2 linked regions of the Drosophila melanogaster genome follow. The protein of the gene in region 1 interacts with the protein of each later gene in a pairwise test. Each region holds a gene or a part of one and is shown on either strand. Other genes may lie near its edges. The genes, in order: tadr and CG12895.

Region 1 (11,241 bases):
CAGAAGGGCGATTTATGATGAGTGTCTCGAGCACTATTATAAGAATCTACAGCATCACCTGGATCGTCTGGGTTTGGACAAGAATCTCATAACAGAAAATAACTTTAGAAAAGAGTGCCAAAGAACTCGATTGGCAGCCCTTGTTATTTGGGCTCTCACCGAACCTCAGACAAAAATGTCACCCAGTATTTCAAATAGATAACGATCCGAAGAACCGGAGAAGTTTGACTATTACCTCAACTGCGATCGGAGTGAGTTATTACTCAGGGTAATCGAGATTCAACCTGGTTACGAGGAGACCATTATGACGCCTATCAGGGAACTGGTGGATTACCTCATGGAGAATGAGAATTTATATATTTAGATGGCAGATAACATTCTATGCAGCTACGAAACTCTTACAATGTAAAATGATGTAACGATTGATTATACATTTTCGTTTTGAAAAATTTAATTTATTCTGAACTTAGTTGTACAGAGAGTCGCCTAGCTATATATTTGTAAATACATAAGTAAATTTCGACAATCAATTTAGCTAGCTAGAAAATTTCAGGCATATGTGGCTCGAAGCTGGATCGTCCTGGGGATCCGCATAGCAATTAAATAGTTTTCTAAACGGATTTTAAAAGGCGCAAGCTAATCAGTCCAGCAATCTTCGTCATCCTCCTCGTCAAAGTCGCGCACATTGAAGTCCTCGTGGAACAGGTCTTCGCCTTCCTCCTCCGAGGACTCCGACTGTCATCTGTGCTCGTTGATGCGCTGTGGCAAGCCGACTACGCCCATTCCCTTGGGCGGTCTGGGTATCCGGATGCTGGTGGAGGGACCCGCTAAATTTGATGCCGATCCCGACGCTGACCCCATGTTGCTCTTTCCCGAGACACTAGGTATCAGCTGGGCATTCATTATGGTGGTGTGCTCAAAACAATTGCAACAGTATTTATCGCATCTGATCACCAGAATGAGTCCAGCCATCAGCCAGATAAGCAATCCCGGCCAGGAATGTATAGCACAGCCACTGAATAGGATCACGCCCATCAGCAGCGACATTCCACAGATCACGGGACTCACGTTGATCACACTGCCCGTGTATTTGGGTATAAAACCCATCATAATGGTCACGATAAGAACCCCAATCCCTCCGGTCAACGCTGCCGGAGCCCAGTGCATCATGAGCCCGGCAATGCATAGGGCAATGCCCAATCCAATCACCACAATGGCGAAAATGGTCACGCGCCAGGAACTCACCGTAGGCACTCGCACACTGCGCTCCAAAGGTCCGGCGGTGGTTACCTGGAGAGTTGGAGGATGATTACATGTAGTGTCTATATTTACGTGTATTCATGGAGAGTTCTTACCTTAATCTTTTCACGATACTCATCCACAATGGCATCAATGTCGGTGGAGGTGTCCGAGTCACTTTTGTCAAATTTATCTGGGTACTCAAAGTCAGATGGCTTCATGCAAAATGTCAGAATATATATTTTTAATTGACATTTACCCTTAATAAACTTAATTAAGCACAGAAATCACTTACCGGTGGCTCGCCATCGGAAAGAATGGTGGACTCCACATCCCTGCCCTCTCGTTGAGGACAGGGCGAGGTGGGTTCACCCAGGAGCAGCCACTCCTTTTCCAGCTCTTGTTTGTTCCTGGGCTTGGTCTTCGGCTTTTTTAAGTTACTGTGCTTGGGCAGACCGATCTTCCAGAGACTTCTCTTTAAGCGACTCGAACTGGAAGTTGCGGCACTGCTGTAGCTGCTGCTCTTGGCAAACGGTGCTGTGGATAGGCGACTGTACGACAGTGAAGACTCGCTGCTGGGCGCCATATATTTGGGTCTGTAAGGGATGTATAGGAGGTAAAGGGCCCTCAGGAATACCCCACCCATGTGGCCAGCGGCTAATGTGTAACTGAGATGCTGTAGTGGACAGGCGAAGGCCAACATGGCACACATGCTGCCGGCGATGAACACAGCCAGCACGGGGTTACCACTCTCCGAGCTCTCATAACTGATCTGCTTGGACAGTATTCTCCACTCCGAGGTGGCCAGTCGCACAACAATACCATATAGTTCCGGAAAGAGCTCCAGAAATGCCGCCGAACTCGTCAAAAGCAACATGCAAGCCGAGGCAGGAACCAACTTATGGAAGCCGTTTTCATCCAGAATGTTGAACAAGGGCACGGCTACATAGTCCTCCTGAGATCTGAAAGAACACATAAAATGTATGTATGTATGTCAAGCCACGCTATTGGTTTAAATATACATCATCATTAAGGATATCTCTAGTACAAGTTCACAAAACATTTGTACAGTAGCCGATAACAGTTGTACAATATGTCTTTTTCCATTATTATCGCATTGTCAGACTCACCTATAATGCACCACCGTCGACAGACAAATGGCCGTCAGCAGCAGCGAAGTACTGACCAATCCCGTAATTAGAGTCGCCGTGAATCGTCCACCTCGAAGTTGTTGGGGCCAATCGCCGGGGAAGGAGTAGGTGAGCAGGGCAGTACCCAGGAAGACCTGAGTGTGGTGGTTTGAACTAGTTATCAGACGGATAATTTTGCAAATAGCAGCAGACTTTCCCCACCAATGCTGGTTGCTAGTGTATAAATTGACTTCTCTATGAAATTTTTTGATTTCTCTATGATTTTTTTGGTCTATAAAAGGCACTACAAATTTTTAAATTACTGGACTGAATAACTTAAAAAGTAATACATTATGCTGTATTTAAATCAAAGCTCTTTTATTACGAATACTCTAAGTATTACCAACTCCGGCAAACTAAGCGCCAAAAAATTTTCCATGTTTTTGCTGTCTGACTGGCGGCTTTCCGCGAACGAATACCAGTGAAAGGAGGCCAAAAAAAAACAAAAACGAAACGCAGCAGTACGTGTCATAATCAAAAGCCCGTATCCTGTGGATTCAGCTGCGGTCACGCAAATGTTCCCGGTCACGACAGCGAAAATCGATGGGACTTGGCAAACAAAAAAAAAAAAAACAAAGCTCAGACTGGCACAGTGCACTGACCCACTATCGAAGTTCCAGTTGGTATGGGGTCTAACGTCTACGGCCACTTACACTGCTAATGCCATCGGGCTGGAAGTAGCTATCCGCAGACCAGGCCAACATGTCGCCCCGCCACCAGCCGACGGCGCTTAAAATGGCGTTCAAGCCAAACATGCCAAGAGTCAGGATGAGGCTGAAGGCCCTCGAGTGCTGTGAATACGCAAATGCAGTGAGTGTCGCGATAAGTGGGTGGATTTGGATTTAAACTCGGCTTCGGATTCGGAGGAGTACCCACCTCCAGGCCCAGCATGAACATCCCAGTGACGAGGAAGACAACCGACACGCCAAGAACATCCGGCCACGGCTCATTCGCGGGTGCATTGCGGCCTGAAAGTAGGCAACATAATATTTGAACAGGTCGGCCAGCACAGTTCACGCCAAAATATTACGCATACATAACAAAATATATGCGATATGATAATATACATCAAGTTTATTATTTTATGACAAAAACGAAATTAATATATATTTAATAATTACAGTTCTGTTTGTTTCTTAGAGCACCATATGGTACTTAATTATTTTCGAAGAAGTGGCTTTACTTATAAGTATGTATGTATAATAGTTTGCTAATTAGGTCGTATCTCGTATTTCTAATGGTTTTGTTATTCCTTGAACCAATGTATTGTGCTACTTTATTTACAAGCATCTGTTACCACTCACCCAATATGAGAATCCTGGCCAGACCTCCGGTCATGGCGTCCAAGCAGGCACTGAGGGTCCTCGCCAGGGCAGCGCAGGCACACACGGTGGCCAGAGCATCTAGCCAGATGGCCAGAAACAAACAGCTAAAGTCGAATTTATTTGTGGCCCGCACATACGGCATTTGCAGGCTGCGGAGGCTAGTTTTACAGCGGGCTGGAACAAAGAATTAACTTACTTTGGAATATTTACAAGTATTCCACCTAACTCCCACCTGCCATTGCGCCATAAACGGTGGCCAAGACAACGCCAACCAGCAGGCTGGGAGCGGAAGCCTCGTTGTAGACAATCAGATAGGAGATTACCGAGGCTCCGAGGGCCAAACGGGCGCCACTGCCGCTGCAGAGCACGTCCAGCAGGCTGCAAGGATAATTCAAAGGACGCACGGGGGCAAGTTAAATTAAATTGCCTGCGAGGAACTGGCGTAATGAATACAAAATTGTGCAAATTAGACTGCTCATTTCCTTATACTTTTATGTTGGCTTAAGAATCGTAGCGAAAAGATGTGTATAATTAAATATATATGCGGTCAGAATACTAAATGGTTTTGGAAGTCTTTTAATGACATTTTTACTCGGAACTTTATCTGAGCATTTATGAAGACTTAATTGCACACTTACTTTTAATTGAAGGGATTAATCATGCGCAAAACATTATTTTTAGATCAAAGTTCGCAAAGCCCATAATAATACCATTGGCTTCAATATACTGGCAAAAATGAGTATGGTTTGACTTAACTTTTTCGACTGATTTTACTTGCGAAGGTGCATTTGCCTACATGACGGAGTGGAACTAAGGACTCAGTCACCTTTGACGGGATATGACTTCTGTGGTTAGACACCCACAGAAACACGAACGGAAATCCATACAACTTTAAGTAACCACAACCACGCTTACAAGCACAGTTTTTGGCGCCAAACTGACATTGGGAGGGATTACAGCACAAAAAATTCTTTCATAAGGAAGGTAAGAAAAATATATATTTTTTTAAATCATTTTTATCTATTTTAATTTTAATGGGAAATTAATAAACATATTTTCCCAGTCAACATTTAAATAAACATTTCATCAAGCAATTTTCAATTATATGTGGTTGCAGTGCAAGAACAAACAGGGAAAGAGTGGTGAAAGGAGATCGCGCCTGTTTGCTCTGAGGCTCTGGTGGCTTTGCCTCCTCTCGGATGCCATGAGTCATAGCCTGTTTTTTGGGGATATCCCCTTACGCCATTGGTATTGAAGCTTCTATTTTCCTCCCTTTCCCAGGCCAATTTTCTGCTGCTTGTAATTATGTGTACTCTGTGTGCATATTTTAAGCAGCTCGATTATCCTAATTACATGGCCAGCTGCTGGCGGGCTATCAGGTTTCTAGCTTTGGCCTTGCTAAGCTGGGAGTGAAATAATAGTGGGGGACACTTTTTCGTGAATCTAATTTTCCACATTTTCCGAACGAATCTTTGACCCAGCTTAGAGAATGAGATGCTTTAAAACAGTCAAGGTACACTTTGCGGTACACTTAGGTTTGTTTATAGTTGTTTCTTGTATATGTAAAATTATCCGTTCGTATCGAACTTGTTGAGCTCCCAAGAATGATATTTGAATACATAACTAAATAAACAAGATTTTTTTCCTATGTCCTTGTGTCTCTGTTTGTCTCCGTATCTTCATAGAATTAGAATTCATGCACAGCTTGAATATATCAAGTATACGCACAGTGGTCGGGCACTTGAATGGGCCAAGGTAAATCGCAGCGAAAAAGCCAGTCAGTGCGACGCCGCCAGAGGAAGAACGAAAGGAAAGCAAATACCAGTCAGAAGACAACAGAAAAACTAAAACGAGGAGACCAAGAACGAGGAAGAATACCCACACACATGCCAATCAAAAATCAATTTATTGATTACATGACAAATATCAGCCATAACAACTGCCAGATATGGTCGAAATGGCTGTCGAGTATAGGCCAAATGTATTTATTGTATGAATGGATATGGGCTAGAGAATCCTACCTGCCACTCGACATTGTCGTTGTTGTAGCAAAGGTTACTGTGGTTTTCACTCAGCTAGCAATCGGCCAGGTTCAAAATGTGATTTGCTGCTCATCTTGTGGCAGAACTTGGCCAACAATGACTGCCATTTTGTAGTGATCTTTTATTAAAATTTATATTAGATACTCCAACACTTCAGCACTTGAGCTTTAGCCCTTAATTAGCCAACACGCTTGAGAGGTAACTTCTGCTCTTGACACGTAACCTGGTAAAATATGGGGGAAGTGCACAGGTAACGCGTAACCGCTCGCTTAAATTGGCCGCAATCCACTGAATGTTCACTTGAAGCTTTTCCTCCGCCGCCCAAACAGCTTTCGCCCGATTCCGACGCACAGCTGTCCACCGGATTCGGAATCGGATAAAGATTCGGATTCAATTCAATACTGTCCTGCGCAGTGGACGTTGTTTACGTTTACAGTTGGTTGGCCTGCCTTCTGCTCTTTGGTGAGAAAATGGGAAATGGGAAATGGGAAAGTGGGTTGGGTGGGGTGGAAAATGCGGAGGGTCTCTGCATTTGGTACTCGAAAGAGTTGCACAAGTGCAATCGTTTTGCATAGCTAATGTACTTTATTTTTGAATTTACTGCAGCTCCGTCTATAAATATACTGATTTCCTCAATAAGAAATTTATATATAAGGAACACTCAAACTAAAGCTAATAAATCGTATACCTACTTAGTATTGATAAACATGGCGCCTAAGCTAATATTAGAATATCTTTTGCAACTCGGCGAAGCTAGAAAATCTGGTTATATTTCTTTGAATTCTACTGTCTAGACGACTTTTTATAATTATTTTTTTTGACTTCTCCCATAAATCCAACACATTTAAATGTACAGTTTTAATAAAACAAAGTATTCTCGGAATAACAATACTGCAAGTGATTTGAAAAATCACACTCCTCAATTTAAATCTTAAGGTGAAGTATGTGTACTTTTTTCATTCCGGCAACAAAAACCTAATACGAACATACAGAATTTAAGGTCACGTAATATAAATATCATCAAGATTACTAGTTTAGATTAGGAATAAAAACGAAATTAAGGAAGTACACCATAATCACATAGGTATGACAAACAACAACGTTTAACAAATGAAAGCCACATTTCAAATGTTTAGCACGTTAAATATTATTTTTACACCTATAAGTATTTTGCTCTTGCGTTCATTAGTTAAAGTGCATTCAAATGTGTATTGACGGGTTACTTTTAAAATGTAAAAACAAATCAATCAGGTATCTTAAGCTACCATTCTTTTATTATATTTTCGTTACGAAGTAAAATTTTCCATCTTTAAATAATAATTCCTACCTTCTTTTTAACGAGCCGAATGGAACCTAAAGAATATTATATTCAAAGTTGTTAGATCTGGCATTTATCTGAGAAGGCGACCTTGACTTGTGCAAATGACTCCCGCAAGTTGTGCTAAAATTTGAAACAAACAAATGCGAGAAGCCGCTAAAATAAACAGTTAAGACGGCTTCAAGCCCGATTGGAGACCTTGTGGTAGAAGGTAGAATCCTATCCTATCGAGAGTGTTCTATTTTCGGTGAAAAACATAACTAGTGGAGCTGGCTTTAGCAGCAATCTCTGAATTTGTCTAGAACGAAACGGGTTTTCTGTGGACAATCAAACGGCAGACAGCGGTCATAAAAACCAAAACAATAAAATGCAAACTATCTCAACTTATACCAAGCCGTTTAATTCGAACGTGTGCACTTCAGCAAAGTATCTCTGGAGTTTTTTAGAGGTTGCTCTCGTCAAATCAACGACTCCACGGATCGACCTTCTGACCAACTTTAACCGACGTTGGTCATAATTGGTCGGATGTTTGACCTTTTTACTTGTGATTTATTTACTAATTCAAGTAAAAATAAAGTTTCTTCTATTTTTGGCAAAGGCTACCTTGTCCGGTTTAAAAATAAAGTTTAGGCGAAATTTATGAGTGTTTCAAGCCGCCTACTATACTTTGATTGGGTCTTACTGTCTGTCTTACTTCGTACATTTGTTACTATATTAAATCAATACCATACCATCGATTTTCTTACAACATCTTACATAGGTTTCAGGCATGACGGACGTTCACGATAAGACTTTAGAGCATTTATGTTAATTGAAATCAAAGACAGAGACAATATAATCAAAATTCAATGTCATTTCGGTTTCATTTGTCTTTTTTCTTTGGGAATGTGGCTCTATGAAGTCGGAAGTTGTTGGTCAGGTTTACAAATAGCACTTTATTGGACGAAACAATTATGATTTGCTGTGGCAGATCAATGGTTAACAGACTCATCGAGATTTGTTTTCCCATATGTTAAAATTTTATGTGAAATCGACATTAAAATTCCGAAAAACAGTTTAAACGCATGTTATTTTTGACGTATAGTATTTAATATGTTAATTCTTATGACTCACTTGACTATTCTAGTAAGAATATATAAGCTGAGAATAATAATATAAGCTTGTTAATTAAATAGTGTTAGCTATTTGCAAATAGTGTATAAGCTACAGCTGAAAACGAATGTAATTTTGTAACTGTAATTTTTTTTTTTGTAATTAACTCTATATATATATATATTTAATATACTTTAACGAATCAGATGAAAATTAGTTTCACAAACAATAGAACCGGTATTGTTGGGTCCCCAAATCTACAAAATTCTACAAGCTCTGCAACGCAATTCGCGGGAACTAAAAAAGCCCGATATTCTTAACGAGAATCCCCTCAAGCATTTCAAATTTGCAAATAACCAAGAAATATAAAATACTTCAGAAGGCGAAGCGCAATTAGCACCACACATATGAGATTCCCAAGACTCACAAAAAATTGTTTACGGTAGCCAATCGATGACCATGACGCTATATGATTTTTGGCCAATAATTATCAAGCTCCTTATTGTAGTCAGATAAATCATAATTAATAATAATAAGCGAGGTTTAGGCTGTTCTAGCCAAATGGGCCATCATCGCCGGCACAGGAAATGTGAACAGCATAATGTCCAAGTCATCGGATAACACATGGCACAAAACAAAACGTTCGTTTTCGGTCATTACGAAACACTAACCGGAAGTCAGATGCTAAAACCAGAATTCTGATAGGAAGTAAAATAGGTTAACGTTCAGATTGGCGCTTGGCTTTCAAGACTCACCTTTGTGCTGGTTCTAACGGGTTTTTTGCGAAGGCTACCTGTTGATTCATTTGCGATTGTCTGCCTCTATCACGGGGTTCTTTTGGCCAACACAATCTGCGTGTTTTAAGCTTGGACACGGACTCGTATTTGGCCAGAGTGCAGCTTATATTTCACTTTCGGTCAACAGGGCACGAGGTTGAATTCTCGAAAAAGTTGAAAACATGCGCGCAGACCTGCTCGCTTTTGATGGCACAGAACAAATGGAAAATTGTTGTTTTGGGTTTAATTATGGCGGAAATTGGCAAGAAATAAATTGTGGTGAAGCGATTAAGAAAAGGGAAATATTTTATTTTGGTGGCGTAGTGTTGTTGAATAGCACTGATTAAACTGGGTTTATGCGGAGTTTGGCTACCGGAGAAATGATTGGACATCTGTTTTATGGCTAATATAACTGATTAAAAATGTCAAATTTCATTCTCAGTTCCTGTTAACGCCTAATGCTTATTATACCCGATACTCTTACTCTACGAGTACTAGATTCGTTGAAAGGTATATAAAATATTAATATTCTTGATCAGGATCAAATGTGTACGAACACATTTTTGAAAAACTTTTGGATATTTTTTCCTAATTTAATAAGTCATTAAATTTTTATCGATTTGTCAAAAAAACTGTTTGCCACGCCCACTCTAACTCTCTAATCGGTTCCGCCCACACTTTTGAACAATTTTTAAATTTTTTCTCGTTTTATTCCCCAATATTTATCGATATTCCAGAAAAATTATGAAATTTTCCATTCGCACTCACACTTGCTGAGTACGTCGTAGATACTCGTTATAGGTTTGTTCATTTTAAATACTAACGACTGTATTTGTTGAAGCCACCTGGCAACTCTGATTACCAAGTCGTGACTGAATCCCTCTCTTCAGAAAACAACCACTGAAACCTCAGAAGCCCAAAGGAACAGCTGAGTTCGCGCCCTTTTCAACATTCCCTCCAGCCCCTTTCATCCGCATTTTTTCTCTCACTGCGCCTGCGTCCCAAGTGTCAAAAATCGTCGCGAAAAGCAGTCGAAAAATATAAATATACGGACGAAACAAAATTAGCCGGACACAAAAAGAATGCTGGCAGTTCCAGTACATAAATTTGCATTTGTTGGGAATTAATCGATTAAGTGCGTGCCGGTTGACCGGAAAGTTAAATTACAATATTATATTATATATGTACGCACATGTGTATTTGCAGGTAATAACACCCAGCGGTGAATAAGTGGAGTTAAGTATGTTTAATATAAGCATAGAAAGTGAAAGAATTTTTTTTTTATTTTTGTGCCCAAAAGTGCTCACATAATTCCGCAAGTGGCCTTAAACATTTTTATCAGTTTCTTGACCCGCATGACTTCTTGCTCAAAATGCAAATCGAAGTCTAAAAAACGCACGTATACAAAACAAACGATATCAAGTCAAATAACAAAAATTTGCCTATTATGCAATCCGAAGATGTGACGAAATCTTTAAGAACGGCCAGCCATACACCATTTCATGCGATTAACATAACCAGTTTTTAATGAGAAAAAAGCAAGAGACCAACTCTCGAACTTGGTGGCTTTGTGCGAGTATGTGTGCGCAAAAGAAGGGTAAAGGAATACAAGGAATGAGAAGGAAAGAGAGCCGAGGTGCATTGCGATGTCGACAAGAAGGAAAGAGGATATAAGTTGGCCATAAGTGCATTTAACCAAATTTACGGGCAGTCGACTTTCATCCGAGGCACAAATAAAGTACAATAACATATGTTGGTTTTGAGGGGAAAGTAACGGCAGTATAAGAAGTTAAAGTCGGGCTTGATGATGAGTTATTGCAAAACTTACATAAGAGTTCAAAATTATTATTACTTATACATAAAATGCGTGTATTTTTTGTACAATTACCTATTTAAAATAATGTCTAAATTTGTAAGCCACTTTCTCGTCCAATAATTCCGAATTTCACATTTTGCTATTTCGAATCAAAATAAGTCATATGCACACATGCATACAGCTCCTTTATTGCAAGCAATATGCAAACAAATAAATTCAAATTAGCAATTAGTAAACGTAGGTCATTTTACTAAATTAATGAGCCACGTGGGAGGTGTTAAGGTGATTTAAGGTGCTAATGCACATTTACTCAGTTCTTATAACAAATATGCGTAATGAAAGGGCCCCGAAGGTATACTCACTCTAACTAAACTTTTAAGAAATAATACGAAAATGCATCACCCAAGCGATGTAATTTATCTTTCGTGTTTCATAACGCTAAT
Region 2 (6,359 bases), on another chromosome or scaffold:
CAATGTTGCAACATGGCTGCAATACACTCCCTCCTCGGCACTCCTCGCTACTCGACTCTGCTCCTTGTTGCTTGTTAGGGCGTTTAAAAGTTTTGCCTGATTGCACAGAACAACAGCGAGCAACTGTGTGGGAAGTAATGGGCCTACACAGCAAACAAAAACGGGTTACAGAGCAGGGGAATATGTATTAACTTGAGAAACTTGTTCCAAAAAAAAAAAAAGGCATCTATCTTAACTAAGTCATATAAGAAGTACTTTGATCTGGTTTATTTTTGGTTTAAGCATTAAATGTTTTGTAAACTTTATATCTTTAACTTTTGGTTTGTTTGAATGCTGCTTTAAGTGCATCCACGATATGGAGATTTTGCTTGTTTTTCGCAACATGTTTGTGTACAATGTTAAAGTGAAAGAGAAATTCCCGTGCATATTGCAGCTTTGTCCTTTTTCTGCCTGACTGCATCCCTATCTCGTTTTCGGGGGCAAGTCAAAGTCAATGGGATTAACTGACATTTCGGTGTCAGTGGCGCAACCAGGTTAACAAACACTGCACCTCGAAACCATGCTACATGGTGCACACCCGCCCACTGGCACACACGTGCAATTGTTTCAATGTCAAGTGGCGTCGATTGCCCTCATCTTTTGGCGGATGCAGACGCACTTGGACAAAATCTAAGGCTAAGGCTAAGGCTGCAGCTGCAGCTCACAGATGCACTCGACGATGAGATTCAGGCTGATGCAGGATAGAGATGACAGCAAAGACAATATCTACATGATGATTTTTTAGCATCTTTAAATTCTTAAGCTATGTTCAGATAATTTGCACTGTTTTCTTAGATTTGGCTAATTCTAGTCATTATTTTATATATTTTTTAAAAACATTGTAATTATTTCATCACTATCGAACTGTTTGGTACTGAAACCACTTTAATCGGACCGAGTCATCCGCAGGCCACATGGCTCCTCGAAACTGTTTAGGTTTTCACACTCGCCTGCCACGAGGGCGGATGCAACTGTTGCTGCTGCCATTGTCTAAGATGTTGCATGCACAGTGGTGCATGAGTCCATTTTATTTTCGGATATCCATGCCACATGCAACACCCAAAAGTTGACCCAAATTACTTCGGTTTCGCCTTGGCCAAAAAAAACACGCTAAAAATAGTTTTGTCATGGAATCGATTCATCAGCACTCAAATAGAGTGGAATAACCTTGAGTTCGATTCCTTTTGTGGGGCAACAAGTCATTACATTTAATTTAAATAACCAGTCAGTACATACAAAAATCATAGTTTTTGAATTTACTTTTATTCCAGTCTTTGAATCTTCTAAAAAATGTGAACTCTGATATAAGCCTTGATGGAAATTGAAGAGCAGCTAATCCAAAATTGCGTCCAGTACATCCAGCATTTCCGCCGCAGAGTAAAAGTGTGTGCAATAAATATCCCCCTATCTATCGGCACATAAAACCGAAAATAAAATTTTCCAAGTGCCCCGGAATCTGGCGGCCGATAGATAAACCAGCAATTTCCACCAAAATAGAACGAACAATAGAGTCGAGTCGAGTGGAAAGGTAAACGCTGAGCAGGATTTCCATTTCCGGTGAGAAAAACCCAAGTGGAAAAACGAGAAAAAGCGACGAAAAGTGCACTTACCCAGCAGCAGGAGCTTGATGTCCTTGGCCGCCTGGATTCCATCCTCCTTTAGATTCTTCTCGATCTGTTTGGATCGCTGGATGGCGGCGCGTTCTTCGGCGGATGTGGTGCAGCCCATTGTGGTTGGGTTTGGATACTGATTTGGATTCGGATTCGGATTTACACGGGGCTTTTCGGTTTTCGGGCTTTTGTTTTCCAATTTTCCTGGACTTTTTTCTTTATGTCTTATTTGCTTATGTACAGTTTAACGATTTCAACTGAAATGGAGTATTGAACCCATCAACAATAACAAATACACGGGTCAGCGGATGATTCACTATAAACAGTGCGCGATCGATAAGGCGAACCAATGAATATCAAGGATGTGTTAAATATACAGCCGAGTTCAAAATAATAATGTTGAGTTATCTTAAATTAATTTTGTCTGCTGTGTATAAACACAAATTGTAATTGTAATTGTAATATTCTTTCTGTTACTCAACTATTATGAGAAACACAGCTGTATATTAATTTGTATGTAATAGTTAAAAAGATTATTTTAAACTGATGTTACAAGGTTTATGGAACACATCGTTCGCTCTATGGATGTTGTACTGTACTGAGACAAGCACTAATTTTATGACCGCCACTGTCTGTGCAATGGGCCGCGCACTGTATCAATTATGTTGCTTTTGTTTTTTATCAGCAGACGCAAAGTAAAAATAAAAGCAATGATAGCCAGCTAATTTGCATATGGAGCATGTTTGCGATATCGATACAAAATTCATCAATCGCGCTGATAAGATAAATCCATCAGATAATGCTGGATCGCGATAAGAACGATGGTAATTTATCATGTAAGTGAATTAGTCTCGAGGTCAAAGAGCCAAAAACTCAAGCTTATTTTTTGGATACCACTTATTTTTTGTTGTCACACTTTTAATAAAACTTTTATAAATTTTGTTTGTTTTTTTTTTTTTTTGGTTTTATTTGTATGTTTTTTATGCAGTGTGTATGTATTAAGCGTGGGCGTAGGCGCTAAAAAAGCGCCGGGTTGGTGGAAAAAAAGGCGGTGGGTTGTGGAGTTTTCTTTTTCGAGCGTTTGCCTAAGCACATTAACATATGCAAAAAGTAATGCCGTTTTTATGCAAACTGTTAACCATTTCGGATGTATAAATTTTCATTTAGTTTGTCGCTGTTTCACTCACACGCGCGCACACACTCACTCACTCACACGCACGCACTACGCACTCTCACGCGCTGCACACGCCACACCCCCCGCCCACTGGGCCGCCACCCACCACCCCACGAGTTTTCCTTTTCCTTTTTTTCAGCTTTTTTCAGCTTCACATTTACCACCGCCTAGTTTTCCAGTCGTATACACACCGCACTAGTGTATGCGTGTGTGTGGGTCTGCTTCAGCCTGCTGTGTGCGTGTGTGTGCAGGAGGCTCTCTTTTGCGTTTGGCTGTTCTTATTGGTTCCGTTCGCTTTGCGCTTCTTTTTCGCGACTCGCTGTATTTATTGCACCGATCGTGATAGTTTACCGTTGCACTTGCCGAGCACTTGCACTTGTATTTTTGGCCGCAGTGATATTGGTAAATTGCACTTTTCTGGTGTGCGAAAATTTAGCTGCTCTCTCTCGCTTCGTTCGCTCTTTCCAACTGCAGAGCGAGGCGTTCGAACAGCTGTTGGCGGCGTCGGTGCGCAGCACTGGACGCGGCGGGGGTGGCTGTTGACCAGCACTGGCCGCAACAACAGCTGCTGCAAAACAAGCTTATATTTAAAAATTTAAATTTGTTAAAATCTTCCGCTATTTATATACATATAATTTAATAAAATGTTTTATATAAATATGAAAGAACATGCTCACTTTAGTTTCAATAAATATTTTGCATCACTTTGTATGTACAGACATTTATTTTTTTATTATGTTTTGAAACTTATCTGGATTTTAAATAGCAGGCCACTCAAAAGGATCTCATGAATACAATATTTGAGCTTTAAGTGATACAAATAGAGATATATTTTTTATTTATATTATTGCAAATAATTATTAAAAATTCGCATACCTTTCATAACAATTGCAGTGCATATTCTCCCAAATATATTCATATTTAAAATAAAACAACTATTTTAATTTAAATTCGCCTGAGGTTTGAACGGTTAAATAAAATAAATGATTAATTCAACAAAGTGTGCACTTTCCAGCACTATTTATAGCAACAGCCGATTATTATAGCAGGAATCTATCGATTATACTTAACTTTCTTAGCCAACACTGTCGTTATATCATTGTTTTGGTCGTTTCCTAAAATGTTGCGGCAATTTATAGTAAGTTTATGGCCCCAAATGTAGTAAAATATAATTGATTGCTTAATTGGACACAGGTATCTACGGTAGGCCGTCGCCTGCAACTACCTATGATGGCCCAAAGTCGCCTCGCCAGCAATTTGGACAAAACTGAGTACACAACACCCGGGGAAATTGTGGACTACGATGATCCGCCGCATTTGCCAGTTCCGGAATATCCTGTCCGTCCCGATGAGCCGCTGGAAACTCGCAAGCAGCGGTATACGCTTAAAATGAAAATATCCCAAACTCCTACTTATGATCATTCATTATCTTGTGCAGCCTTTTGTATCAAAGCAGGAAACGCGGAATGCTGGAAAACGATCTCTTGCTGAGCACTTTTGTGGCCAAGCATTTGAAGGACTTCAATGCCGAGCAGACCGCCGAGTACGATCAGTTGATCAATGGTGTCAGCAACGACTGGGATATATTCTACTGGGCCACCGATACCAAGCCAACACCTCCTCAATTCGATACCGAAATAATGCGTCTGCTAAAGGAGCACGTCAAAAATCATGAAAAAGTGCAAAGGATAAGGCAGCCGGATTTGTGAACATTATAAACTATATTATATATATAAGCATACAAAACAATGTATTAAATGAATGTGTTATTCTACTCCTGATCCTTAAAAGACCAATGACTTGAACTTGCATTTTACCTGGTATTTAAAAACGATCATTTATACGGAATAATAAATAATACGGTTGCAAGTGATTTGGTAATTTGAATGTGCTTTCATTTTTATTTTTATTTGTTGAAAACTTCAGCTTAATCAACAAATCATGACATTTGAAAAGATACAATTTTAATATATAAAACTGAACACATTGTCAGAATGGCATATATTTAATCCAATTTGAACCCCCTTTAAAACACAGTTCTCGCTTTCCTGAAATACACATCCATACAATATATTTAAACGATTATCCAGTTAAATTCTATTCATGTTTGCCGAATGTGTGTATGACCAATCTTGTATATATAGATTAAATTTTAATACGCTTAAACACTATAGCGAAACATTACACTTAAAATGTTCATTTGCTTTTGCTTAGTCTTGCCACAAGACACGGGATGGCGCGGAGTCCATCGAAAATCGCTGAAAACACGGAGAATTAAAACGCGAATGTCTACCAGTTAACTATGGATTCGGTTCTATATTAACATGCTAAGGAGATGATTGAACAGCTTTTGCTCCAGGCTAGTCCCTTCACTATCAATTCTAGATTATATTTTGGTGTGTGATTGTTGTGTTTCGGGCGGTGGAAGCGAAAAACAAAGGGCTAATTCAATTTCAAGGGTCGTGTCGCAGCACATTTCGCAAATTTAATTATACATCATAATATTACACACTTTATGCTTAGAGAGGCTATATAAAATATATGTTAAAAGTTATTAAAAATCACGCCAAATCAAAGGCCGCCAAACGCATAGCATCTTTAGCATAATCGAACAATTAAAAGAACGGCGATTAGTTTTAAATAGGCGCACTGAAGCCGGTTGCGCAGGTAAAAAAGAAAGAGAACGGAAGTAACAACAAAATTTAACCTACTGCAAATTGTAAATAATCTAAATTTAGTCCAGTGTCTCGAAGAAGTCCTGCGGATCGACGAACATCGATGGGCTGCTGTTTCCGCTCAAGATTTCCGCTTCCTCCTCCTCCTGGCGAGCCGCCTCCGCTTCCGCTTCTTCCGCCTCCTCCTCCGCTGCCGCTGCTGCAGCCGCTGCCGCCGATGAAGATGAGCTGACCCCGCTCCTGCGACGACCCCGACGCACTGGTCCCGTGCCCGTGCCCCCGCCCACCGATGCCACAGCTGCCGACCGGAGCGTACTGCCCGTCATCACGGGATCGTAGGTCCGCGACGACGGGGCATCGGTATTGCTGGACAGGGAGGATTTGCGGCGACGTTTGTTACGCCGCCTTCGGCGTCGTTTGCTGGTCTGAACTGCCACGGCAGCCGTTGATGTGGAGGGCCCAGATCCGGTTCCGGCGCTGCCCAACGGTTCCGTAAGCACACTGGTTCGCGGCAGGGTCAGCGTGGTCTCGAACATCTTCAGCAGCGTCGGGGAACTGGGTCAATTTTGCGGGAACACATCGTCGATGGTAATGAAAGCGTCCTCGCCCAGCGAGTGCTGTCCGATCACCTTGATCAGCTCCGAGGCGTGAGCCACCAGGTATTCCAGCGGCGGACGACGCTCGAAGTTCAGGGACTCTGCATAATCATAGTAATTAGTAACTTCGTTTCGAGACAAGTGTTTAAAGACTTACCCAATATGGCCGAGTTGAGTGTGGTGGAAACACTCTCACGTCGCGAGGGACACAGCAACCAGCCCAGCGGACTGGACCAAGGATTAGAGTAGGCAATCAGACTAAATG

What was found.
Region 2: the proteins of tadr (region 1) and CG12895 interact in a two-hybrid assay, tested with the Drosophila melanogaster proteins (one large-scale study listed by BioGRID).

Annotation. Positions count from the first base shown.
Region 1 is NT_033779.5:21,070,250-21,081,490, reverse strand, and holds tadr (torn and diminished rhabdomeres), read right to left. Parts: upstream 6,087-11,241; 5' UTR 5,790-6,086; coding exon 5,776-5,789; intron 4,133-5,775; coding exon 3,987-4,132; intron 3,929-3,986; coding exon 3,734-3,928; intron 3,398-3,733; coding exon 3,306-3,397; intron 3,221-3,305; coding exon 3,083-3,220; intron 2,525-3,082; coding exon 2,370-2,524; intron 2,202-2,369; coding exon 1,535-2,201; intron 1,455-1,534; coding exon 1,356-1,454; intron 1,291-1,355; coding exon 739-1,290; coding exon of another isoform or gene 637-738; 3' UTR 438-636; downstream 1-437.
Region 2 is NT_033778.4:10,434,922-10,441,280, reverse strand, and holds CG12895 (uncharacterized protein), read left to right. Parts: upstream 1-3,898; 5' UTR 3,899-3,943; coding exon 3,944-3,961; intron 3,962-4,017; coding exon 4,018-4,199; intron 4,200-4,261; coding exon 4,262-4,532; 3' UTR 4,533-4,683; downstream 4,684-6,359. Other genes in the region: RanBPM (Ran-binding protein M), read right to left, coding at 6,059-6,195, 6,252-6,359. UniProt on the Drosophila melanogaster protein: Plays an essential role in the assembly of succinate dehydrogenase (SDH), an enzyme complex (also referred to as respiratory complex II) that is a component of both the tricarboxylic acid (TCA) cycle and the mitochondrial electron transport chain, and which couples the oxidation of succinate to fumarate with the reduction of ubiquinone (coenzyme Q) to ubiquinol.